7 linked regions of the Cricetulus griseus genome follow. The protein of the gene in region 2 purifies or fractionates together with the protein of the main gene of each other region. This does not show direct contact. Links are inferred from orthologs where the notes say so. Each region holds a gene or a part of one and is shown on either strand. Other genes may lie near its edges.

The links.
Region 1: the proteins of Hnrnpa1 (region 2) and Ddx28 purify together in Homo sapiens (affinity purification with mass spectrometry; 3 studies listed by BioGRID and IntAct, with this or other methods). This does not show direct contact. The link is inferred for Cricetulus griseus from reciprocal best matches to the Homo sapiens genes HNRNPA1 and DDX28.
Region 3: the proteins of Hnrnpa1 (region 2) and Ddx5 purify together in Homo sapiens (affinity purification with mass spectrometry; 4 studies listed by BioGRID and IntAct, with this or other methods). This does not show direct contact. The link is inferred for Cricetulus griseus from reciprocal best matches to the Homo sapiens genes HNRNPA1 and DDX5.
Region 4: the proteins of Hnrnpa1 (region 2) and Hnrnpul2 purify together in Homo sapiens (affinity purification with mass spectrometry; 3 studies listed by BioGRID and IntAct, with this or other methods). This does not show direct contact. The link is inferred for Cricetulus griseus from reciprocal best matches to the Homo sapiens genes HNRNPA1 and HNRNPUL2.
Region 5: the proteins of Hnrnpa1 (region 2) and Syncrip purify together in Homo sapiens (affinity purification with mass spectrometry; 5 studies listed by BioGRID and IntAct, with this or other methods). This does not show direct contact. The link is inferred for Cricetulus griseus from reciprocal best matches to the Homo sapiens genes HNRNPA1 and SYNCRIP.
Region 6: the proteins of Hnrnpa1 (region 2) and Ilf2 purify together in Homo sapiens (affinity purification with mass spectrometry; 4 studies listed by BioGRID and IntAct, with this or other methods). This does not show direct contact. The link is inferred for Cricetulus griseus from reciprocal best matches to the Homo sapiens genes HNRNPA1 and ILF2.
Region 7: the proteins of Hnrnpa1 (region 2) and Rps3a purify together in Homo sapiens (affinity purification with mass spectrometry; 3 studies listed by BioGRID and IntAct, counting the BioPlex papers as one, with this or other methods). This does not show direct contact. The link is inferred for Cricetulus griseus from reciprocal best matches to the Homo sapiens genes HNRNPA1 and RPS3A.

Annotation. Positions count from the first base shown.
Region 1 is NC_048596.1:182,307,713-182,311,420, forward strand, and holds Ddx28 (probable ATP-dependent RNA helicase DDX28), read right to left. Parts: upstream 2,372-3,708; 5' UTR 2,338-2,371; coding exon 730-2,337; 3' UTR 501-729; downstream 1-500. UniProt on the Homo sapiens protein: Plays an essential role in facilitating the proper assembly of the mitochondrial large ribosomal subunit and its helicase activity is essential for this function. May be involved in RNA processing or transport. Has RNA and Mg(2+)-dependent ATPase activity.
Region 2 is NC_048595.1:399,611,774-399,615,920, reverse strand, and holds the start of Hnrnpa1 (heterogeneous nuclear ribonucleoprotein A1), read right to left. Parts: upstream 2,801-4,147; 5' UTR 2,658-2,800; coding exon 2,643-2,657; intron 2,090-2,642; coding exon 1,973-2,089; intron 1,738-1,972; coding exon 1,591-1,737; intron 1,447-1,590; coding exon 1,236-1,446; intron 837-1,235; coding exon 744-836; intron 657-743; coding exon 564-656; intron 409-563; coding exon 334-408; intron 132-333; coding exon 1-131. UniProt on the Homo sapiens protein: Involved in the packaging of pre-mRNA into hnRNP particles, transport of poly(A) mRNA from the nucleus to the cytoplasm and modulation of splice site selection.
Region 3 is NC_048600.1:119,729,527-119,732,069, reverse strand, and holds part of Ddx5 (probable ATP-dependent RNA helicase DDX5), read left to right. Parts: intron 1-72; coding exon 73-138; intron 139-587; coding exon 588-729; intron 730-813; coding exon 814-974; intron 975-1,060; coding exon 1,061-1,233; intron 1,234-1,628; coding exon 1,629-1,739; intron 1,740-1,986; coding exon 1,987-2,048; intron 2,049-2,134; coding exon 2,135-2,194; intron 2,195-2,298; coding exon of another isoform or gene 2,299-2,312; exon of another isoform or gene 2,313-2,543. UniProt on the Homo sapiens protein: Involved in the alternative regulation of pre-mRNA splicing; its RNA helicase activity is necessary for increasing tau exon 10 inclusion and occurs in a RBM4-dependent manner. Binds to the tau pre-mRNA in the stem-loop region downstream of exon 10.
Region 4 is NC_048596.1:51,268,683-51,272,728, forward strand, and holds the start of Hnrnpul2 (heterogeneous nuclear ribonucleoprotein U-like protein 2), read right to left. Parts: upstream 2,801-4,046; 5' UTR 2,602-2,800; coding exon 2,070-2,601; intron 1-2,069.
Region 5 is NC_048597.1:198,378,426-198,381,925, forward strand, and holds part of Syncrip (heterogeneous nuclear ribonucleoprotein Q), read right to left. Parts: intron 2,319-3,500; coding exon 2,113-2,318; intron 326-2,112; coding exon 176-325; intron 1-175. UniProt on the Homo sapiens protein: Heterogenous nuclear ribonucleoprotein (hnRNP) implicated in mRNA processing mechanisms. Component of the CRD-mediated complex that promotes MYC mRNA stability.
Region 6 is NW_023276806.1:64,071,091-64,074,590, forward strand, and holds part of Ilf2 (interleukin enhancer-binding factor 2), read right to left. Parts: intron 1,734-3,500; coding exon 1,629-1,733; intron 1,143-1,628; coding exon 1,065-1,142; intron 763-1,064; coding exon 660-762; intron 1-659. UniProt on the Homo sapiens protein: Chromatin-interacting protein that forms a stable heterodimer with interleukin enhancer-binding factor 3/ILF3 and plays a role in several biological processes including transcription, innate immunity or cell growth.
Region 7 is NW_023276806.1:68,278,007-68,282,163, reverse strand, and holds the start of Rps3a (40S ribosomal protein S3a), read right to left. Parts: upstream 2,801-4,157; 5' UTR 2,705-2,800; coding exon 2,643-2,704; intron 1,989-2,642; coding exon 1,885-1,988; intron 1,622-1,884; coding exon 1,434-1,621; intron 668-1,433; exon of another isoform or gene 595-667; intron 1-594.

The sequences.
Region 1 (3,708 bases), on a different chromosome or scaffold from region 2:
GGAGATCCTTCTACATCTGCCTTCCAAGTGCTGAGAGTAAAGGCATATGCCACCACCACCCAGGGAAGACACCCTGTCTTAAAAAAAACATTGGAAAAAAAGGGAAGGAGCAAAATCCAAAACAAGACAAAAAAGCCGGGTGGTGGTGGCACATGCCTTAATTAATTAATCCCAGCACTGGGGATTAATTTAATCCTTTCTCAAAAAGGGGGGGGGGCAAGAGATGAAGAAAAGGATAACTGGAGACCAACTTGAGCTAATTACACATAGTGAGTTCAATTGTGGGCTACGGAGCGCCAACCTGTTTCAAAATACACAAATCATTCTTGTTAGAAATCATGACATGAGGTAGCTAAGTGGATAAATGCACTTGTTAAGCAAATCTGGTGCTCTCAGATACCTGGAAAACACAGAAAGGTAGAAAGAGAGAACTGATACAAAGTTGTCTTCTGACCACCACCCCCCCAACATACAATTAGAAGAAAAATGAAACCATGATATTATATGAAGTCAAAATCCACTTTATTATTATTTTTTTAATATGTTAGTTTCCAGTTCTGGCCAGTAGCTTACTTTTCAAATCTCCAAACAGTTCATCATGTTTTCAGAGAGGCAAGGGGTAGTATAGTGATCCAATGTGATCCACTGACAAATGTGTTCAATTCCCCTGTTCCCCCAGGGAGATCCCTGTTCTAGCATCAGATTCAAGCCAGCCAAAGATTAGGCTTGTTAAGGCAAAGGGTCTTTCACTGAAGATGCTAGTCCTGGAAGGCTTCTTCTTCGACGAGCTGCCAGCTCAATTTTCTGAACCAGGCTCACATCCCAGGGATGGGTCACAAAACTGATAATGGTCCCTGGCACTTCACTGCCCACACGACCCACCCTTCCTGCTCTGTGGATATAATCTTGCAGAGTAGGGGGAAAATCATAGTTGACAACCAGTTCCACATGGATACTATCTAGACCTCGTGAGGCTATGTCTGTGCAGATAAGTATGTCTTGGGAGCCCTTTTGGAAACTCTGGAAGATACCTGTTCTCATTGAGGCTGGCATTTGCCCTTGCAGCCTTAGATGTTGGATTTTGTGGTCATCCAGAATATATCCCAACCAGTTCACAGTGCTGGAGCTGTTGCAGAACACCAGGACAGTTCCTGAGGGTTTTGTCTTATTGGCTTTGTCATGCTGTTTGAGGATCTGAACCAGTTCTGTCACCTTCTCGGCTCCCTTTAGTCTCATAAATGTCTGTCTGACATGAGGCATAATGCAGTGGAGCTTGGAGCTTGTGATGGTGGTGAGATAGTCTGGGCTGGTGACTTTACTCAGCAATTGGTTTACGCCTTCTGGAAACGTGGCTCCCACCATCACTAACTGAGCTTTGGGATTAAAGGGGTCTTCTAACTCAGCTGGACTTTCTGCTATAGGGCTCTTTTCCAAGATGTAATCCACAAGTTCCAGGAAGCTTTCATCCAGCAACGTGTCCGCTTCATCCAACACTATGAAGGAAAGAAGCTGTAAGCTGATCAGTTGACTTTTCAGGGCCTTCCACAAAGCCCCTGGAGTGGCCACAAGCACATCTGCTGACGGTTGTCTACACAGCTGCAGTTTGAGCTTGGCCCTGCCGAGGCCTCCTCCGAGCTCTATTACCTGCAGGCCCAAGTACCTACCCAATGACTGGGCCACAGCCCGCACCTGTTCGGCTAATTCTCGGGAAGGTACCAGAACCAAGCCCCGGGGTGCTGCGGAACTGCGGGAATCCGGGTCTGGCCGGCTCAGGAGACGTTGAAACAGGGGCAGTAGGTAGCTGAGAGTCTTCCCACTACCAGTTTCGGCAGCGCAAAGGATGTGGCGGCCGCGAAGCAGTGGGGGGATGGTTTTCGACTGCACTGAGGTTGGCCGAACGACTTCGGGCGCAGCCTCCTGAAGCGCGAGCAGCACTCGGGGTTCCAGACCCAGGTCCACGAAGCTGCCACGGGACGAGAGGTTAGTCAGGGCGGGAGCCTCCTGCTGCACCCGCTCTATGGAAAAATGATCCTTAAGCGATCGCCGATGCCTCCAGCCACGCGAAGCCAGAGGCGCGCACTCCCAGCGACCCAGCGTGAGGCGCGCGGGCTGGTTCAACTCCGGCCGCCGTGCCGAGACCAGCAGCGGACCAGGTCGCACTAGCACCGGCCGTGGGAAACTCCCACGATCGCGCTGTTGCTGCCGTCGCTGCAGAGCCCGCGGAATGCGCACCACTGGCAAGGGCTCGTCGGAACCGCGCACCGCTATGTTCCGTCGTGGTTCCAGAAGCAACCGAACTGCTAGTGATAGCAGCCGAGTAGGCCGCTCTAAAGCCATAGTTCCTTTGATGCAGAGAGGCGCTAGTCAGTGACGTCAAGTACGCGACCGTGGTCTCGAGTACGGTGGCTGGCTCGGCTCAGTGTTGCGTGAGGCGTGTAGCGTGTGGCGCTGCAGCACCGTCCGGAAGGAGGGAGGATCCTCAGAGTTCAGTGGCTGCGAGGTGTGTAGGTTCCCAGGGGGCATGACGACGTCCAGATTGGGATCATCTTTCGGGAAGAGTGCTCGGTGGTGGCAGGAGTGGGGGTCGGCCATAGGAGGAGGCTGTGGGGCCCTGACTGAAGTTATCAGGAGTGAGGATGGCCTCTGTCAATTGGGTGCTTAATTTCTGAGATTCTTATTTGTGGTCTTCATTGCCCATAAAACTCCCCAAGTGTTCGGAGTGCGGCGATGTTTTCATAGATGTGCGCTCTGCTCAAAGCCTGGGTGATACAAGTGTGTAAGAGTCTGAATGACTCTGAATGGGAGTCTGGATCTGGGCGCAAGCCTGTTCTCTAGTTTGGACTCCAGAGTGCATGCCGGTTGCCTGCAGCTTATTTTGTCTCAGTTCGTTTAGGTCCCTGTCTTTCCAGGACCCTCCATTCCCTGTCACCCCTTCTCAAACTGGATTCATCACTCTTTTTGTTTGTTTGTTTGATTTGCTTTTGTTTTCTGAGGCAGGATTTCTCTGTGTAGCTTTGGGGCCTGTCCTGGAATTCGCTCTGTAGATCAGGCTGGTTTTGAACTCATCGAGATTCGCCTGTCTGTGCTGGGATTAAAGGCCTGAGCCACCACTGCCCGGCGGGATTCACCACTCTTGATATTCCATTAACTTCTCAGGCAGATTCTGAGTTGCCTGAATAGAAGTAGTATGAAGGGTCTTGTTATCTTCCTGGCGTGATCAAGCTTATCTCTCACATAGCAGACTACTTGACTTCAATGTAGTGGTTCAGGTTATTTAAACTTTTTTCTTTTTAAGTTTCATACTTGAACACTTCTGGAAAAAACAATGGATGCCAGACTTCTGGAAAAAACAATGAGTGCCTGGAGTGGGAGATAAGGTCAATGTTTGTGGGTTGATTACCTGGGAGGTTCCTAGTATCTGGAGAAAATATTTTAATTACATTAACTAGAGCTGGCCCTTCATATTTCTAGGTGGACATCTGTGGATTTTTCCCACTGTAGAGTGAAAATATTCATGAAAAAATTGTGTCTGTACTAAACATTTATATACGTTTTCCTTTCATGTTACTCCCCAACAATACAGTATAACAACTATTTACGTTGTGTTTATATTGTATTAGTCATTGTAAGTAATTTGCAAATGATTTCAAACATATTGGAGAGGGTTGGGATGTAGCTTAGTGATACTATGCTCGCCTGCTGTCATTT
Region 2 (4,147 bases):
TCCTCCGTTGTTATAGCTGTCATAGCTGCCACTCCCGCCATAGCCACTGCCCTGGTTTCCATAACCCTGTCCACCACTTCCATAGCCTCTGCTTCCTCCAGAGTAACCAGGGCCGCCTCCTCCATAACCACCTACAAGAATACAAGCCTTCTCAATAAGACAAAAGTATTTAACAATAAAAATCTATGCAAGTGTAATGACTAATGGCCTGCTCACAGCATGCGTATTACGGGGCTGGTTGATTTTGTCATGCACTAGGTTTAGTGTCTACTAGCCTAGTCTAAAGGTATAGGTTGCTAGAAATTTTACTTACGGATTCCTTAAGAAACTTACCGTCATTACCAAATCCATTATAGCCATCCCCACTGCCACCATATCCACCACCACCACGGCTACCACCGAAGCCACCTGTAAGAAACCAGAGCTTTAGGTATATGAATGAAGCAAATGCTAATCTCTGTGTAACGAAAACTTATGTTTTGGGTAAAATCTAAATGCTATAAACAAAGACTAGCAGTTATCCATCGTTCCAAAAGCAATTAAGAAATCCAAAAGGTACACACCTCGACCACTGAAGTTTCCCCCTCGACCAAAGTTGTCATTGCCGCCAAAACCACCTCCACGACCACCACCAAAGTTTCCGGAACCACTTCGACCTTAAGAGATGTTTGGATCATTACATTAGACCAACTTGCAGCAACAACCCAACTACCCTCTGCAAGTTCTAACTAAGCAAGAGATACCTCTTTGGCTGGATGAAGCACTGGCCATCTCTTGCTTTGACAGGGCTTTTCTCACTTCACAGTTGTGGCCATTCACAGTATGGTATTTCTGAACTTAAAAAAAAAAAGTTAACTTTAGGGCTTTAAACACACTGAGTCCCAGTCATTAAGAAATCTGAGCACGATGGGTGTTGGTGGCCCACGCCTTTAATCCCAGCACTCAGGAGGCAGAGGCAGGCAGATCTCTGAGCTTCAGACCAGCCTGGTCTACATGAGCTAGTTCCAGGACAGCCTTTAAAGCCAGAGAAACCCTGTCTCGAATCCACCCAAAAGAAAAATGTAATCTGGCTGGGGGGTGGAACACCCCATAAATCCCAGCATTCAGGAGGCAGAGACAGGCCATCTGAGTTTGAGGGCGGGTCTCATTTCCAGGAAAGGACCCAAAGCTACAGAATATTCCCAGTTTGTGGGGGAGGGAGGAGGAGGAGAGAAATCTAATTATCTGACACTTACTAACAATCTTGTCCACAGAGTCATGGTCATCAAAGGTGACAAAAGCAAACCCTCTTTTTTTCCCACTGCCTCTGTCCGTCATGATTTCAATCACTTCAATCTTCCCATACTGCTCAAAATAATCACGAAGGTGATGTTCTTCAGTGTCCTCTTTAATACCACCAACAAAGATCTTTTTCACAGTTAAGTGGGCCCCTGGTCTTTGAGAATCCTAAAAGGAAAATGATGCAGTCATTATTAGTACATTTCAAATGATTGGCAGCTGTGGTGGCCCACGCCTTTAATCCCAGCACTCTAGGGGTCTATCTGGCGTCTAGATAAAAGAGAACCCAACTATTAGCATAATAACACTCACTTCTCTTGAAACAGCTCTCTTAGGTTCCACAACTCTGCCATCCACCTTGTGTGGCCTTGCATTCATAGCGGCATCTACTTCTTCCACAGTAGCGTACGTGACAAAACCAAAGCCCCTGGATCGCTTCGTATTTGGATCTCTCATTACCTGTTTATAGAGTTAATTCAATCAACATATTGCCTGATATCAGGACCTGAGGCCATTCCAACTCTGAACATGTCCAGCATAAAACTCCATTTAGACTCAAGCATAAGGCCCCCAAACAAAGATCCTTTTAAAATTATACCATTAATTACCTTCACAAAGCATCTGGGTAAGAAGTGCGGCATGATTAAAGCAATAAAATTAAACCAGCCCCGCCTTTTGTTCCTTCTAATCTTACCACACAGTCGGTGAGTGTTCCCCATTGCTCAAAATGGCTTCTCAGACTCTCGTCGGTTGTTTCGAAGCTCAGCCCTCCAATGAAGAGCTTCCGCAGCTGTTCCGGCTCCTTGGGTGACTGAATCGGATCAAAGGAGAGCCGTTAGCTAAGGGGCTGGAACTTGAGCGAATGGATCAACTCCACGCATCAACATAGGCCGCACTTTTTTATTGTTCTTTATTACAGCACAAGACCACGTGCTCCTCTCTGGGCCAGGAGGTGCTGTTGGGGCGTGGGGGGGAGGACTAGCATGCAGCGCATGCGTCCCTACTCTATACGCACGCGCAACAAAAGACACGGGCTGGACTGGTCAATCGCCATTAAAACTTACTGAAGCCTTAGCAGACGTTAGTTAGGCAAAGCCAAGAAAGAAAATAAAAAGAGCCACAACCCCCAAGGTCGCATATCTGTGAATTCTGCCACTAGGAGCCGAGTGTGGAAACTAGCGGTTAGCGGACGGCAGCCTCATGGCGACTACGAGGACAAAATGGCGACCTGCACTTTGTGAGCAGGCCTCGGCAACGACCGATCAAACACCGAAAGCATGGGTGCCAGCCAGAAAAATAGGTCGCATCCCGTCCTGTTCATTGCGTATGGAAGGAAACGAAGCCGCAGAGCGCGCACAACTCACCTCCGACTTAGACATGACGGCAGGGAAACGAGAGCCTTCAGCGATGCTTCCTCCGCCGCGTCAACAGGCAGAAAGGAGTAAGTCAACGAACGTATCCGCCAGCCTACCTTCGGCTCGCCTTTTTATCCCGCCTCCTCGCTTTCGGCATTGGTAGACTCCGCCCTGGCCTTACTCTGATTGGAGATCTGGAATTGTTCCCGCCCACTCTAGGTCTGTGGATCCGCCCTGCTAAGAGATGGCATCTGCTGGGGCGTTCTACGCAGTCTCCGCCCTTCGGAGTCATCGACGCTCTGGGGGATTTTTTTTTTAACCAGGTTGATTGACTAGCTAACCAGTGGTTTATATTTGAATGTACCCATGTCTTTAAACGCCTTGCATAACTTCCCAGCGTCCGAACATTATAACCTCACTTGGCAAAACACGACACGTTAGGAAAAGTAGTTCGCTACCACTTTTGCAGCCACTGCCCGGAGAGCGCATGTGTAATAAAAATGGCGAGTTTACGCCGGCGCACTAAGGAGTTCCGCTCGCCTACTGAACACGTGAAATGGCGGGCGGCGGGCGGGAGAGGGCGGTGAACCTAAGGCGCCTGCGTACTGGCGGGAGCTGCGTCCTGCTTTGCGCAGGCGTTTTGGGCGGAGAAAAGGTCTGGGCCCAGGATTGGTTGCGCAGGCGCAGGGAAAGGATCCGTTTTGGCGGGCGGCTGGCGTTGCGCAGAAGGCGGCGGTAGCGGGTGGCTTGTGGTGCAGCTTTACCACAGAGGAACCGCGCAGGCCTTAGTGTGAGTGGTCACTGTAGATCCCGGGTAAGTGGCAGAGTCTTGACTAACCGTGGGAGTTCCTGGACCCGCTCCAATTGGACTCGTTATTGTACGAAATGAATGGGCCCCGCTGGACTTGGGGGAGCGACAGTGAAGGGGCCGCGATGGGTCGGGCCAGCCAATGGGAGAACGGGGGCGGGATGTTTTAATTCTGCCAGGTCCTTTTGGGCTGCGCTACCAGAGCGTTTGACTGACGAGTGTATAGGCCAATTGGGTCTTCCTATAGCTGCCTACGGATCGGCCCTTGGGCCATCCGAATGCGGGAGGCGGGCTTTTCCCGCCCGAGTGGCGTCTCTCAGAGCCAATGAGCTCCAAGCGCGCGATAGGCCGGCCTTCTCCAAGCGGCAGAGGCTGGACTCCAGTGGGGAGCGCGGGAGTCGGGAGGTTAAATCCATGGACCAAACCTGGATCAAGTAAATGGAGAGATTCCTTGAAAGAGAGGCATCTTGCCTTCAGAGGGAATTGTAGGGGTGCATATTTTATCTACAATGACTCCTATAGTGGAGGCAATCATTCCCTACATCACCTTAACGAAAGCATGTTTTCTTGTTCCCCTCTAGTTTGGCATTTTTCTTGCTCTTTTAGATCCCTTCACTTGATATTTTGAAGAACTTAGGGAGGGAGGCTTTAGTTTTTGAAAATTCTTAAAGGAAAACATTTAATTAAAGTTTTAGGTTGAAATGGC
Region 3 (2,543 bases), on a different chromosome or scaffold from region 2:
ATTCTGGGAGTGGTGACCTGATAATCTTTCATTTTTAATAAAATTTCTGTTTTCACGCTTCCCCTCCAACAGTATTTGCTGCCTGCCATTGTCCACATAAATCATCAGCCATTCCTAGAGAGGGGTGATGGGCCTATTGTAAGTATTTCTTAACTTTTTTGGTCCTTAACACTAAAAATTTTTAGACTACATAATCCCACTCAGTTTGCCAGAACTGGTTTGACTTTAGTTCCTTTTTCAAGTTACTAATGTCCAAGAACAATAAGCAAGGACGGATTTCAATCCCTACAACCTACACGTAGAGAACCAATCAGAAGTTCTGCTTTCCACATGTTCTCCCACATGCAAAAAAGTCTCTCTATCCTGAGCATAGTGGTTCATGCTTAATAGTCAGTGATCACTACTATAATCTCAGGCAGAAACTAGAGGATCTGGGAGTTGGAGGCCAGCTTCAATGACAGAAAGCCTTGTCTTAAATAAATCCAATTCCCAGCATGCACCCCACCTCACCTCCAAAAAAAACACAGCACCATAGTATACTGTTGTGTACTAAAAGCTGGGGTTTTTTGCAATTTTTTTTTCCTTAGTGCTTGGTGCTGGCACCAACACGGGAACTGGCCCAGCAAGTGCAGCAAGTTGCTGCTGAATACTGTAGAGCCTGTCGCTTGAAGTCTACCTGCATCTATGGGGGTGCTCCCAAGGGACCACAGATTCGTGATTTGGAAAGAGGTACATGATCATAAAGGGGGCTCCTTGTTACTGGTGGAATGAAAGGTTTACATGTTATAGTTACATTTGCTCCTTTAATTAAAGGTGTGGAAATCTGTATTGCAACACCTGGAAGACTGATTGACTTTTTAGAGTGTGGGAAAACCAACCTGAGAAGAACAACTTACCTTGTCCTCGATGAAGCTGATAGAATGCTTGATATGGGATTTGAACCCCAAATACGGAAAATTGTGGATCAAATAAGAGTGTGTATCCTTATGTTCTTAGTAAAGATCAGTTCTAAGTTTACTCTTAGGGTTCCAGTCTTAATTTATTTCCCAAAATTTTTTAGCCTGATAGGCAAACCCTAATGTGGAGTGCAACTTGGCCAAAAGAAGTAAGACAGCTTGCTGAAGATTTCCTGAAAGACTATATTCATATCAATATTGGTGCACTAGAACTGAGTGCAAACCATAACATTCTTCAGATTGTGGATGTGTGTCATGATGTAGAAAAGGATGAAAAGTAAGTTTAAATCTTAGCAATTTGAGAAGATCTTGAATTGTACAAGAGTAATTAGTTTTGAAAGTTGTCTTAAAATGAAATTTAGTATGGTATAGGTTCTTTTTAAAATGTGTTTGTGGATATATATATAGCTTGGTGATAAACCACTTGCCTGCCTGGCTGGCTTAAGAAAAAAGCTATATGAGTTTGAGCCTGGCCACTTCACAAGCACACGAAGTGGTATGCCAGTCTTTATGAAAATCTGTGTTGTGCTTGCCTAGTATTTAACCTTACTTCCTGTAAGGAAAGGACAGCCACGTGTCATAAGCTTTTACAGAAGTGGTTTAGTGGGTGTGTTGTTTTGACTTCCGTTGATACGTTTCACTAAGCACATTTCTTTTTTCTTTTCTCTTTAGGCTTATTCGTCTAATGGAAGAGATCATGAGTGAGAAGGAGAATAAAACCATTGTTTTTGTTGAAACCAAAAGAAGATGTGATGAACTTACCAGAAAAATGAGGAGAGATGGGTATGTGGTTTCCTGCCTCATGGTACTTTGATCAAAAGAGAGTTTTGTGGGGATCATCTATTCTACAATATAAGTAGAATTATACAAATTGATTTCAATGACAGTGTAGTGGTAACAGCTCAGGGATATAATGCTCAGTGGGAGAGCACTTGACTAAGATGAAGTACTATAGGGTTAGATTAAATATTGGTAGATTTCTGCCTTTGGGTTTCAAATGTAAGAGAGCTAATATAACTTGTTAATACAGGTGGCCTGCCATGGGCATCCACGGTGACAAGAGTCAACAGGAACGTGACTGGGTTCTAAATGGTGTGTATTTCAAATAAGATGAAGTTTGTTTATAACCTGATAACATTTGCTTGGATTAATGATCATTTATGTGTATGTCTTTGTAGAATTCAAACACGGAAAAGCTCCTATTCTGATTGCTACCGATGTGGCCTCCAGAGGGCTAGGTTAGTACAAACTCGAATTCATGGCTTGGTTTCCCAGAAGATCTCCATGTAGTTTTTTTTAAAGAAAGTTTATTGCTTTCTTTAACCTCTGCATTTTTTCTAAGTTTTTTTCACATAAAGGTGCAGTCTTTGTGGCAAGGCCTAGGCATGACAATCGGAGGACTCGAGGGGGATGGAGGACTAGTGATCGGCTGGCTGCTTCCAGTCGATTAGAGAGGTGAAAAGCTGAAAGTGTGCCAGTAATCTTCAAAGGGCAGAACATACCACCTCTGCCCCATAAACTGTTCTCTCCGGGGGAAAAAAATGGAAGTTACCTCACAGTTCACTGCCGTGGTATTTCATCTGTCCC
Region 4 (4,046 bases), on a different chromosome or scaffold from region 2:
AGAAAATCAGCAGTTTTTATACTGGAGCAGAGAATAAGCTCAGAACTAAGAGAATCTGAGTTAACCAATATGGGAAATTGAGGGTATCTGATTCAAAGTGTTCCTAGTATGTATGTATGTATGTATGTATGTATGCATGTATGTATGTAATGGTTTATTTCCAATTATCTTTTCATTGGTTAAGGTGAGGGGCACAGTGAGCTAAATACAGTCAAGAAATAGAAAAAGTTGGGCAATTTTTCCATTCTAAATTTATCTACTTCATTCAAGCCAACATGGCAGATCTCCCCACTAATAAGAAAGGAAAATATCCCTGAAGTTGTTTGAAAACCTTCACAGGTGAATTTCAATTCTCATCAGATTTGTATTTATGGCAAGTACTTAATGACTATTTTCTAATGCCTTTCAACAGCTATATGGAACAGAAGGCTTATATTTTCTTTAAGAGACTACTTTTCTGCATTAAAATGCACAGCCACACAATGGCAGCTGAATTTTTAACAGGTATTTTAATTGAAAGCTACCAGTGCAAATCAGTAAGTCACAAGTGAACCATAAATAACACCAAAGCTTCACTTCATGGAATTTGGGGCAGGAAGGTGGTGGTGGATATTTAGCAACATTCTTTTTTTCTTTTCTTTTCTTTTTTTTTCTAGACAGGGTCTCACTATGTAACTCTGGCTGTCCTAGAACTCACAATGTAGACCAGGATGGCCTCAACTTAGAGATCTGCCTGCTTCTGCTTCCCAAGTGCTGGGACTGAATGCATGTGCCACTAAGCCTGACAGCAGCATTCTTTACAAGGAGTAACACATAGCGTTTTCTTTTTCCCTTAGGCTTTTGTTTTGAAGCTTAAAAAGTCTTCTTCAACAATTCCTCTAAAGTACTCTCTTATCTGTGAATGCTTTTTATCTGCTATTTAGGATACACACAAGTTAATGGTTATGTAATAGGAATTTTGTTCCAGGACATAAGACACAACAACCCCCCCAAACACTATACTTTGTATTCAATCATTGTAAAATAGATTCCAACTACATGACACTAACAGCCTTAAAAAAAAAAACAAAAAAAAAAAGATATAAAAAACTTAAGGCAATCCCCTTGGAAGTAAGACTTGGAAGCAGCTCTCCTTCCCCTGACAGTCAGACACTATGGATTAGCTCTAACCAGGCAAGCATTTCAAAAGAAAGGAGAAAGGTCATTAACTCCCAGGGGAAGTCTCTACACATTTTCTACCACAAGGTTACTCAACTGACCCACTAGAAACCCCTCAACCATTTCAGCTCAGGAAGTCAAGAGCCTTAAAGGCACCGGTGTAGAGTAAGTCTAAACATACGCCCATTTACTGACTTGGAAGGAGAATTAAGATATAAAAACAAGAGGGACAAGGTAAAAAAGCCTCATTCAAGCAACTAACATGCTACTAAAAGTTACTAAGACTTTTTCTTTGCTAGTTAATGATTAAACGCAATAGGCTCATACTAGACACCGTCTACTACCGCCAAGCAGGAAGGAGCAAGGTTAGCTACCCAGTCTCTGTAAGGCTTAAGCTCTAACGGGAGTTTGACAGAAAAACACATCACAGAGTGTTTACTGCTTAACATTCTCACTGTAAGAAATTAACTGTCAGATAGGTCGAAGCCCTAAGCGTCTAACTGGTACCTGCAGATCGCCAATTTCTCACTACATTTTCTGCTAAAGGTATTCAGCTAAAGAGGAAGCACCAGAAGACTGATCCACAGGTAGCTCCAAAGTACACACAGACACAGACATAGGCACACACGCATGCCACACCACACACTTCCATCCACTAACACCAAGAAACCACGTTAGGCAGAAACCTCCCTCCTGCAAACAGGAGAGCAACAAGGCACCCAAACCCTCAAAAAACATGGGCAGTGGATGAAAACCACGTTCCCTGGGGAATCCCATCAAACAGCCACGGAACCCGTGCACTTTCCGGCAAGTGGAAACAAGGAATCAGATGGCGCGGTGCAGGGTGGGGTGCTGGATCAGAGAGACGCACCAGGCTGGGTTGGAACCTGGCTCTGCTGCAAGTTCCTCACCTTGTTCTTCTGTGGCCTTGTCACCCGGTGCCTCGGATCCCGGCGTCTCATCCCCGCTGCGTTCCTCCGGCCCGTCTTCCTCCCCCTTGCCGGTGTCATGCTCTTCACCACCGTTTACCCCACCTGACCCAGCCGTGGCCTCCGCCGGTGCGTCGGAAGATTCGGGCTCGGCCTCCATGGCTGACGCCTCCGGGGGCTCCGGAGGCGGCTGCGCGGCCTGGCCCAACGCCTGAGCAGGAGGTGGCTCCTCGTCTTCGTCCTCAAGCAGCGCCTCCTCGTCCTCCTCCTCCTCGTCGTCCTCCTCGTCGTCGTCCCCGCCCGGGCCTCCGCCCGACGCGGCCACAGGCCGAGGCTCCGCCTTGCAGGCCCCGCCGGGCCCGGCGCCGCCAACGCCGGCCTCGTCCTCCAGCATCTCAGCATCCAGAGCCTCCTGAAGCCGCTGCGCCAGATCCATCTTGAGGCCGCGCGAATCCAGGCCCCGCCGCTGCAGCTCCGACCGCAGCTCGGTCACTTTCAGCCGCTTCACCTCCATCGCCGCCGCCGCCTCCTCCGCCTCCCGCCGCCTCCTCCCCTGCGAACTGTCGACCGAGCCCGACCGCGCAGGCGCCGCCGCCGCCCGCCTCCGCCTCCCGCGCCAGCACTGTACTCGCGCTCGTAAGCGCACGCAGGCGGCGGCAGGAGCCGCGCGGTTACAGCGGCGTGTTTGTGTCGCCCTCCTTCGGCCCTGCCCCTTGCGGCTCACTGAGCCCCAAACAAGTGATAGAAAGTCGGCTCTCGGCCGCGGACGGGCGGGCAGGCGGGCTGGCGGGCGAGCGCGCGCTGAGGACGACCGAGTTCCCTCACTTCTCCTTCCCTCCCTCCCCTCAGAGGCCCCGGCCAATCAGCGGAGGCCTCATGACTGCGCAGCCGCAAGGAACCTGCTCCGGCAAGGCTGGCTGCGGCTCAAGTGCCTCGTAGCACGGAAGCGTGTGTGTGCCCCTCGTTCGGTCCTTCGGTTGTAGGCTCTGCGCAGTCGCGCCGGAGCCCCGCCCACCCTGTCAGTACTCTTACTTCCTGCTCGCTCCCACTCGCCGGGGCACCCTAGGTCTTACTTGATGTCGTCTCTTCCGTATTCTTTCACTGCGTCTTCTGAAAGTCATCAACCGAGACAAGCCGGAGGGCTGCCTGGCGCAGAGCAGTTGTTTTCGTAGCTCGTAGGCAAAGGGTTTTCCAGCGAGAGCGAGCAATGCCCGGGTCTTTTTCTGTGCTTAAACTTCTACCCAGCAACAGAAGCTCCGACCCCGCCCTTAGCCTCTCTCATTGGCCATCTTGAATCGTAGTCTGTTGCTGTGATTGGACATCTGATATCGTGCGGCTTTTTTTCCTATTGGAGAAGTGGCCGGGAATTTTTTTTTTTTCCGGGTTGGTCCGCTGGGAAGGCGGGGTCATTTTTGCGGGATTACTTTTCTGGACTCGTTTCTGATTGGGTGAAGTGACGCAATGCGCGCTCCCCATTAGATGCTAAACTGCGGGGAAGCCGGCTCTTTTCCTCTCGGTGCTGCGGCTCTTAAACTGAATCCCTGGAGGAAACTTCCGGGCTTGGGCCACTGCAGTCTTGCGCTTGTTGTGTTTGCCTGTGCATGCGACATCTGTCTCTCCTGCAGATTGGGAGGTTCAGGCCTCATTCACTTCGGTTCCTTAATTAACAGCAGAGACATCAACAAATGCTTGTTGAATAAGGTCAAATAAAGAGCTTGGGAAGGAGCGAAGCCTTTTTGACTTGTTTCAGTTGTTCCCGCCTACTCCATCTTCTTCCAGGTCAGGGGGTGTGTCTCAGAGAAAAGGAAACGAATTTTGCGGCGGTCAAACACTTGGCATTTGTACTTGGGCCTTTAAATCTTCCTAGAGTCTATACTCACGCCAGGATCTCTTCTTTTGGAAATCATTTGGTCTATGGCTTCACTACCTCATTATTCCTTTTGTTGTGGAACTTCTGGA
Region 5 (3,500 bases), on a different chromosome or scaffold from region 2:
TAAAACATGGTTGCAATATAATTAAAGATCTTCCTCGATGCTATTTTTACTTAAATGGTTTGCTTGACTAAATTTCATAACTTGAACTTTGCATCAAATTTATTAAGCATGGGATTTTAAGACTATAAAATATTGGTCTCTTTAGATGCCTATGAAATTTCTACCACTTTTTTACCTTGACTGCACCATCTCGCTCATCAAAATGAATGAAAGCATAATCTTTTAGTTTCTTCACTCGTTCCAGTTTCCCAAACTGACTAAATGACTTTTCTAAAATTTCTTCTGTTACAGTATTGGCAAGGTTGCGTACAAACAGCACTTTTACCTGAAATAAAAAAGCAAATTTTCCAGAATTCAATTTCCAAAAGCAACCACCCCATCCTACAAAGTTAACTTGAAACACAACCAGTAAGTATATATAGTTTTAATTTCCTGTGGGTAAATGCCAAAGAGTGAAATTGCTGATAAAAGTAAAAACCGAAACAATAATAAAGGTATTACCAAACCAAGTTCTACCACGAAAAATGTGTTCAATTATTAACAGATAAGCAAGCTAAAGCTGAAGTACACTACACACCTTACTTAAACCCCAGAACACAGGAGACAGAGGGAGGAGGATCTCTTAGTTCCAGGACAGCCAGAGCTATTATTACACAGAGAAACTCTGTATTGAAAACAAACAAAAACAACCTAGAAACATGTTGGGATTACAACACTTTAAAGCTTCAAACCTGAGGATTAGGAAGAAATAAACTTTCATTCACAAAAACTGGGGTGTAAACTGATGCAGCCCCTGTGTTTAAGGCGGTTCCTTATAAAACTAACCATATTCTTATCTTATAATCTTGTGTTATTACTCCCTATTTATATTTACTGAAGAGTTGTTAAGTTTTATGTTCCTACAAAAACTTGCATCCAGATGCTTCTAACAGCTTTATTCATAACTCCCCCCAAACAGTAAAAAGATATCCCTTCAATATATGAATGTACAAACAAAGCAGAATTTTTAGCTATAAGTCAGGGAGTGGTGTTGCATGCCTTCAATCCCAGCATTCCAACTACTCAGGAGGCAGGGGCAGGGGCAGGGGCAGGGGAATCTGGGATGCAGGGGCAGGGGAATCTAAAGGACTTCCAGGATAGCCAGGACATAAAATTCACAAAAAGAGGACATTTAAAATGTTGCCACGGACTCTCAGAAATCTATATAGGCATGATACCAATCATGTGACATTCTGAAATGGTAAAAGGGAAGAAGGGCTGTCAAGATTTGAGGGATAGAGATAATCAAAGCACAGTAATATAATTTCTGGGATACTATAATGGTGATTATCGAAACCTAAGACTGCTTTTGAAATGTTGGATAAAGTGCTTTAAAATACTAGTAACATCCTGGGAGTTGTGCTGGACAGATGGCTCAACAGTTAAAAGCACTGCCTGCTCTTCCAAAGATCCTGAGTTCAATTCCCAGAAATCACATGGTGCCTCACAACCATCAATAATGGTGCTCTCTTCTGACCTGCAGGCATACATGCAGACAGAACACTGTATACATAATAAAATTAAAAAATAAAAAAGCTTGCTGACACATCACACATGAGATCCTGGGTTCAATTTCCAGGAACATCTAACTCCCTCCTCCTGAAAATTTCTCAAAATATAATTGTTCAATAGTAGTCAGCACTCCCAATAGTTAAAACTGCCTTCTATAGATTTAAGCAAACATGACCTTTTAACTATTAAAGGGATTCCTAAAAGACAAGACAGAATATCCAAACTGCACTCAAGAGTTACCTCAAGAGTTAACCCTCAACTGTTTGCTGAAAAAAAAAAAAATAATAATAATTCATTTATTTGATTTTTTTCCTTTGTTTTGTTACAGGGTATGACTCATAAAAAAATAAAATAAAATTAATTACATCACCCTCAAATATTCAAAAGAAAGTGCTCTAGAATACCTTCCGTGCACTCACATTTTTTAGTGTATAACTAATTGCTTAGTAAACTTTTTACCTTCAAAAACATTTAAAACAATGCAAACAATTCATTTACTAAGTTTTTTCTTATGCTCCTCTTATTAACCCAATAAAAATTGTTTTACTTTACTGTAATTACCTTTGCCATAACTTCAGGATCAGGATCTTCTATGGGATCAGCCCATTCAACAGTTCCAACATTTCCCCAGACTTTGACTTTACCACTCATTAACCTACGCCTTGCCTGTGCAGCTGTTTTGTGATCTTCATATTCAAGAAAGCAAAAGCCTCTATTTTTTTTCTTGTCATCCGGTTGGTGATATAAAATGACATCTGTGAGACCCTCTGAAATTAAACAAACATCCCAGAAAAGTAGGTTAACTAGCAATTAATTTGTGTTTAATAAGCTACTCTTTAAATAAAACATGAAAAATACAAACTTTTACTAACAGCAATTATCTTTTAAAGAAGCAAAAGCCAGGTGGTGGTGGTACATGCCTTTAATCCCAGCAGAGAGGCAGGCAGATCTCTGTGAGTTCAAAGCCAGCCTGCTCTACAGAGTGTGTTCAGGACAGCCAGGGCTGGTACAAAGAAATCCTGTCTCTATAAAAACAAAAAACAAAAGCAAGAGACATACTCTCCCCCACAAAAAAAAATTATTAATTTTCCAAATCAACCCAACCCTACCCTAGCTTTCTAGCCCAGAAAACCCAACAAAAGCAAACTACTTAACTAGCCATGGGAACCATTTTGATTCCACTAAGGTATAAGACAAATAAAATTCGTCTGCTCATCTAAAAAAATGCTATCTCTTTGTCAAACATGATTAAATTAATTCATTGCATTAAAATTCTATTTGGGAGGGAATGGTCACGTGAAGACCCCTGGTCTTCAGCCTAAGTAAAAATCTTACCTAGGTTGAGCTACATCCACCACCCTTTTGCTTTTTTTTTATTCATATTTTACCATCTCTGAAATTGGTTTAAATGGCATCTTTTTCTGTTCTCAAATAACAATGGCATTCTTCAAAGGAAAATAGTAAATACTGTTAATGCAGAACACTTTTCTATGTTTCTACAGACTGTTAACAGAAAGATAATTTTCTCAACACTGTAGGTAGATTAATGTTAAAAAAAACAAAAGTACCATGTTAACAATATGTCTCTGCTTTTAACACTTGTTCCTTTAACACAGGTGAAAAGGCTTCATTCATATCTAAGAATTAAAAACCACTAGGGGGCTGGAGAGATGGCTCAGTGGTTAAAAGCACTGGCTGTTCTTCCAAAGGCCAGGTGTTCAATTCAGAGCACCCACAAAGCACCTCGCAACTGCCTGTAACTCCAGTTCCAGGAGTCTTACAACTTCACAGACATACATGCAGGCAAATAACAGCTAAAGTGTGGAAATAAACACAAAACAAGGAAGAGATGGGAAATAAATACAAAGCAAGGAAGGGATGTGCAATAATTTCACAGACTGATTTCAAATTGCAGATGTATTTCCATGTTTAGTTTTGTCTTATTGTCT
Region 6 (3,500 bases), on a different chromosome or scaffold from region 2:
ATTATTAGCCCCAAATCTAACCTCAATGTTTAGGAAAGTAGGCTGGAGGCTTAGAGGTTAAGAGTACTTTTTCCTCTTGTAGAAGACCTGGGTTCAGTTCCCAACAGCCATTTGGTGGGTCATACCATGTATAATTCCAGTTCCAAGGGATCCAAAGCCCTCTTCAGGCATGTACATGGAATGTATAACACTCATACAAGCATAACACTAATAGAAATAAAATAAAGGGCTGGAAAGATGGCTGAGTGGTTAGGAGCACTGGCTGCTCTTCCAGAGGTCCTGAGTTCAATTCCCAGCAACCACATGGTGGCTCACAACCATCTGTAATGGGATCTGGTGCCCTTTTCTGGCCTGCAGGCATACATGAAGGCAGAGTACTATATACATAACAAATCTATAAAAAAAAGATAAAGTAAATCTATACCAAGAAGGGTGGGCTGAGAACTCTACTAAATTCTGACTTACACAGACCTAACTGTTTTTATAAGCCCATCTGCTCTTGCCACTGCATAGATACTCAGAGAAAACTCAAACCTTCTGAGGGATCCTGTGCTCTCAGGCGTCCCATGACAGGCTAACATGCCCAACACCACGATCCACCCCGACAGAGAAAGACCAGATGCGCGCGCGCGCGCGCGCACACACACACACACACTCACATGTTGGCAGGATCTTTAGTATCACCACCAAGTCAGCTACATTGTGTCCTGTCGTCATCGTCCCCTTTTTATATGATCCAACCTGTCGGACTTCTTCAATTTGCTGTTGAAAAGGGGATTTTAGGGACATTTAGAGAAACAAAGGTAGAACTATTTCAGCAGCTTCTTACTACCCAGATTTAGAAGCAGCCACGACAAAATCCCATCCCCCAAACAACCACATATGACTAGACCAGTGATACAAATCTCATCCTCAGGATGAAGAGTTCCAGAATGTCCCTGTACTTTTCCATTTGGGGCTTTGATTTGGATAACAGACAACTGGAAATTTGACAGGCAAAGGACAAGAAAATTTCCATACCACCAAGGGTGCCCTTACTTAGGATTAATTCATCAAAAACTCACCACTTCAAATGTCCCTGGAGCCACAATCAAGTTGTCAATCACATTGTTTATTTTTGTCACCAAAGAAAGGATAGAAGCCTGAAAACATCACAAAGCAAAAATACCCTAAGGCCAAAAAGTACACAAAACAACATTTTTAATCTGTATCATCACTAGACTCTCCACCTACAGTAAGAAGGGGGAATGAATAATTAAACACAGGAGGAATTTGAGCTCTGAAAACACTCTTGATAGGAATGAAACCCTAGCCCTCAAGAGTGCTAGGTAAGCGGTCTACCACTGGCTTACAATCCTAGCAACACAACATTTTATTAGCTCTTTTTTTTTTTTTTTTTGTAATTGTATTTCACAGGCACATTGGTGTTTTGCCTGCATGTATGTTTATGTGATGATATCAGATCTTCTGGAACTGGACTTACAAGACAGCTGTGAGCTGTCGTGTGGGTGCTGGCAACTGAACCCAGGTCCTCTGGAAGAGTAGCAAGTGCTCTTAATCTCTAAGCCATCTCTCCAGCCCAGCTCTTAATGCTTTAGGCCTTAGCACAGACTCAGGAAAGAACATACCTGCTCTGCAGAATTGGGGGCAAGGTCCTGATTCCTCTTCAGCAAGGCTTCACTGAAGGACGTTTCATCAGGTGCGGGCTTGACCCGAGGAAAAGCCATTTCACACTAAACCAGAAATTAAACTTGTTATTTACCAAAAATAATATACAGATTTTTTCTGATTCTCAAAAGAAAAAAAAAATTGTTATATACTTATAATCTCAGCACGTTGAAGACAGAGGCAGGAGAATCAACAGTTCAGCACCAGCCTGGGCTACCTGAGACCTGGTCTCAAAAATATATAAACAAGACCCAGTGAGATGGTTTGACAATAAAGGCCCTGGGTTATCAGTTTCTGGGACCCACACAGAGAACCAAATCCTGCAAGTTGTCCTCTGATCTCCACACATTTGTTGTGGTGTACATGTGATGACAAATGTAATAAAAACACTTACTACTACTACTTGTTTTTTTGAGACACCATTTTTCCTCTGTGTAGTCCTGATTGTCTTGGCACTCACTCTGTAGACCAGGTTGGCCTTGAACTCAGAGATCCGCCTGCCTCTGCCTCCCGAGTGCTGGAATTAAAGGCATGTGCTGCCATCTCCCGGCTAAAATTAGGCCAAGTGATAGTGGCATACATCTTTAATGCAGGCATTTGGGAGGCAGAGGCAGAGGCAGACTGATCTTTGTGAGTTTAAGGCCAGCCTGGTCTACAAAGCTAGTTCCAGGACAGCCAGAGCTGTTACACAGAGAAACCCTGTCTCACAAAACCAAAAAAAAAAAAAAAAAAAAAAAAAACTAAATAAATAAAAATAGGGCTGAGATGGGCTGGAGAGATGGCTCAGAGGTTAAGAGCACTGACGGCTCTTCCAGAGATGCTGAGTTCAATTCCCAGCAACCACATGGTGGCTCACAACCATCTGTAATGAGATCTGGTGCCCTCTTCTAATGTGCAGATATACATGGAAGCAGAATGTCGTATACATAATAAAATATTTAAAAAAAAAAAAATAGGGCTGAGGAGATGGCTCAGTGGTTAAGAGCACTGACTGCTCTTCCAGAGTACCTAGGTCCAATTTCCGGCATCTACATGGCAGCTCACAATAGTCTGTAACTCCAGTTCCAGAGGATCTGAAACCCTCACACAGACACAAATGCAGGCAAAACACTATGCACATAAATAAAATCACTTAAAAAATAATAATAGGGACTGGAAATCAGGTGTGGTGGTGGTCCACGCCTTTAATCCCAGCACTCCAGAGGACACAGATCTCCATGAGTTCAAGGTCAGCCTGATCTCCAGAGAGTTCCAGGCAGAACAACCCAGGCTATAGAGAAACCTTGGCGCCCCCAAAAAGGAGGGGGGCCTTGAGAGATGGCTCAGCAGTTAAAAGCACTTGTTGGACTTATAGAGGGCCCAGGTTCAATTTGGAATACCCACATAGGGGTCACAACCACCTATGAATTCAGTTCCAAGGAATCCGACTCCCTCTTCAGCCTCCACTGGAACCAGTACTACACCTGTGCATGGTGTACACACATAAATATACTCACGCATCCCTCATCCCCCACCCAAAATTGTGCATTTGATTCTGTTTTTCCATCTACTCCATTTCACAGACGTTAACACCCAGCTTGCAACACTGGCTTTTAACTCCTTCAGATGTTCAAGTCCAAATATAAATAGGAAGAACCTAATTCAAGTTCTCATTACCTTGTTGTTCTGTTGTGTTATTTTTTTGATACTGGGTCTATTGTATCATAGGCTGGCCTGAACTTGCTATGTAGCTGATGCTAACATTAAACTTATCTTCCTGCCTGGGTCTCCAGTTGTGCTTGGATTACAGGTATATACCACCATACCTAATATGTCGTCAGGGATCTGTACAT
Region 7 (4,157 bases), on a different chromosome or scaffold from region 2:
TAACAAGTTCCATGCCAGTCTGAAGAAATAAAAACTCCAGTAACACAATGACACGTTATCTACAATTCCTTTGCTTAGAATACAAAGGCAAATCACAAGTTCAAGGCCAGCTTGGTCTACATAGCAAGCACCATACCTAAGAGGCTAGGGATCCTTTCTCCAAAGGAAAAAAGTTCTGCCATAAGAGCATTTTAAATCCCTTTAAATCCAAACTAAAGCCATGCCAAGGATTTAAATATATAACCCTACAGATAAATCTAAATAAAAACCATAATTGGGCCACATTTCCATCTTTTAAAGGGCCATTTTAGTGGCAAAATGATTTAATCTCTTTGCATTTTATAAATTATGTACCTTGACTTTTAAAATATACCCAGTATCTGCCATGAGTGGTGGCACACATCTTCAGTTGTAGCACTCAGGGGGGCAGAAACAGGTGGATCTTTGTGAGTTTGAGGCCAGCCTGGGCAGCCTAGTAAGACCCTGCCTCCAAAAAAAAAAAAAAAAAAAAAAAAACTTGACTTCCACTGCAAAAGTTATTTATTGCATGTATTAAACAACTTTTTACTTCCAGAATTGCATAATCTGTAAGGGAATGTCAGAAAAACATGTAACGGTAAAATCAGGATGTTTCATTTGGGACCGAAACATTTTGTCATCATTCATTCCCATATTGTAATATGCCAATACTGTTACCTGGATACATCGGAATAATATCTCCTGAAATGACATGGTTACCCTGTGCTGAAGCTCAATTACCTGCATCAGCTATTTCATCTTCACAACTCAACGAGCTGATTTTACAAATGAAGAATCGAGCTGCTAAGCTTGTTACTTTCCAAAGACAAAATATGGAGACTGAATGACTTTAGCCCCACAACAATGTCCTGTCACTGTTATACACCACTGTCAGAGACAGTCAAATTAGTTAGAGCCACCTTTTCACCATAAATATACTCTCAACTGGCAAAGCTGCCCGCCTTGCCTATCGTCCTTCTATCAGTAAAACACTTGGCAAGAGGCTACAGCTCAGTTTAAGAGTGACAGCCCATGTGGAAACCGGTGGGTTCTACCTCTAGCACCAAAGAATAAACAGCACCTTGGCCACACGTTAAAACTTTGTCATCCATGAGGGCAGGGGAGTTCAGAAGGAACTCAGAGAAGTGGGTGAAAGACCAAACTGATTGCAGTTTTATCTCTAGAAGCTAGCTAAACAATATATAAACACAGTGGGAAAATAAAATTGTTCACTCTTCAAGTGAAAACAATTTTCATGTCATGTTTTACCGATGTATATAAACCTTACGGCAATGTGTAACACCAAGAAAACAAAGGGTTGAAATAAAATCTAACTCCATTTCATGTTTTGATCCTTCCCATCCCGGCACCATGACATCTTTGCACATGCTCAAATGCAGTCTGGGGGGTCTCACCTGCCACTTTTTGACCATGGAGCACATCTTGTCCCGGGTAAGATCCATGCCATGGAAGTTAGTCAGACAGTTTTTGCCCTGAACATCCTCAGTAATTAGCTTGAATTTTCTAAATGCAACTTCGTCATTCTGCAGATCAGCAAGGCTCACTTCAAACACACGACCCTTGAGGCCATCAGATGCAATTTCTACGAAAGAACCAAAGAACCCATTAAATTGTTTCAAAAACCCACTTGGACATCAATGACTTACCAGCAATACCCAACCAAACATTTTCTTGGCTAACTCTAAAAACACCTCCTTGCTGCTACAAACACACCGCAAATGCCAAATCTGCAAGCACTGGGCAGATTTTCCCATCACAGAACAAAAAAAAATAGCAGGCCCAGGTGCCTGTTAAAATACACACGCAACAGCTTAAGGACAAAGCAAAACAAGTATTGGTACTCACTGGTTCCTTGAGTCCTCGTGACTAGTGTTTTCCCAATGTTTCTAATATTGAACATCGCAGGCGCTTTCACGTCATACCAGTCTTTCTTCGAAAATGGATCAACCCTAGATTTGAGAGAAACAGACTCAAGCTTCTTTGTAATAAATCCCAAGACTGCCACTGCCAACTCTTAAACTTTCCTCGTCCTTACTTCCGCTGACAATGTCCCCGGCAAAAAAAAAATCTTAAACCGGCTTGTCTTTAATACAAAATGACGCCCCTCACCGTGATGAGCCTAAGGCCGGCGTGCCTGTCAACAGGACAAACCGGTAAGCTGGAAACCATGCCTTTCCCGCTCCTCCACCCCACAGGCGGCATTTCAGACTATCTCGGAACCTGGAGGTCCTGTGACATTAACTATTCCGTGACAGCACGGACCGGTCAGCAAGTGTCGGGAGCTCCCAGGCAGGGTCCACGAGGCCCCAGCGCAGGAGCCAGCGACTGCCGAGCCCAGATGTAGAAGGGACATTAAAAGTGCCCAGGACCATTAAGTCACCCAGAGCCCACAGATCGCTACACGTGACGAAAGCCCGGCTCACACGCGGGCGCGACGCCCGGCCCGGCCGGGGAAGAGGCGGCCGTCTGGAGCGCACCGGCCAGCGGCGTCGCCGCGCAATCCGCCCCGCATCCTCACCATCCGCCCCACGCTGCAGCCCAGAACCAGCCCGCCAACTCCTGTGGGACCCAAAGAGCGGGGATCCGCAAAATGCGCCACTTACACTTTCTTCTTGGCGCCCTTCTTGCCGCCTTTCGTCAGGCGCTTATTCTTGCCGACCGCCATGGTGCTGCTGAGAGAGCCAAAAGGGCGGAAGTAGTACCCGCGCGAGAACTTACGCGAGCTGGGCGGGGAGCGCTGTCTACGTGACCCTTGCTCTTTCGCCCTTCCGGCTTTCTCAATCTCGCGACACGAGTCAGCGGCTCGCTCCCACCGGGCTGCGACAGCGCCCTCGTGTGTCGGGAGGCCGCGCAGCGGGCCGCGGGGCTGGCTGGGCGACTTCGCTGAGGTCAGGAGCGCGCAGGCCCGGCAGAGGCGCGCACACCAGGTTTCCTGTGGTTCCAGTTGCCCCCAGGGTGGGAAGTTTCCGTACGAGGAGAAGCCCTCTGAGCTGTCTCGTGTTCTAAACTTTGAGAGTTTGTTTCTTTCCTAGAGCCTGGGCTTTGAATCGGAGACAGCAAGTTCATGTTCAAGAGGTGGTTTGAACAGTACTTAGCCTTCCGACCTCTCTGGCCTTCTGTCCCCTCACGTGTAAAATGGGAATAATGATATGATCTACTTCAAAACGTTGGTATAATTAAATAAGCATAACTCCGGGCATGCTGCTCACGTCCCGCGCGTGCTGATTTGGATTCTGATTAGTCTCGGGTATGGGTGTTTTGTGAACATGCATGAAGATAGAGGCTCAGCTGGGGTGGTAACGCATGCCTGCAATCCCAGAGCTCTGGAGGCAGGACAACAAATTAGAGGACTGTGAGTTCCAGACCAGCCTGAACTACCTAGTAAGACAGACTGAGCTGAGGGGTGGTATAGATACTTTCCGGTATATTTCTTACTTATCAACGAGAACAAAGGTGTTTGTGATACCAACTCCTGCCCAGTGTGTATGCTTACCTACATATCTCTTACACATTTGCAATCATATTTTTATTGCTTGTGTGTGCCTATGTTATGCATGTACCCTCTCCAGCCTATGTGTGGAGGTCAGAGAACAACTCTCTTATTCCACTCTCTTATGTGTATAGGGCTGGAACTGCGGTGGTCAGGTAGAACTCAGGGTCAGGCCTCTGCGGGTGCCTTTACCAGCTGAGCCATCTCGGCCCCCGCCCCGGGTGGGGGCGTGTTTTGCTTTTTTAGTGGAATGGGAGACTGGAGCCGCTCAGTGGTAAAGACTAAGCACGTCTAAGGCCCTAGGTTCCATCCTCAGCACTTCAAAAAAGACACAGTGGAGTTCAATCCTTGTACCTAATTGCCCACCAATTTTCTTAATGTAAAACCCCCTTTCCCATTTTTTAAAATATTTATTTATATTGTGTACATTGGTATTTTGCCTGCATGTATCGAGAGTGTCAGATCCCCTGGAACTGGAGTTACAGACAGTTGTGACCTGCCATATCATATGGGTGCTGGGAATTGACGGTCCGTTGGAAGAGCAGTCAGTGCTCTTAACCACTGAGCCATCTCTCCAGCCCCCCCACTTACCATTTTTATGTTTGTTTTTTCAGACAAAAGTCTTGCT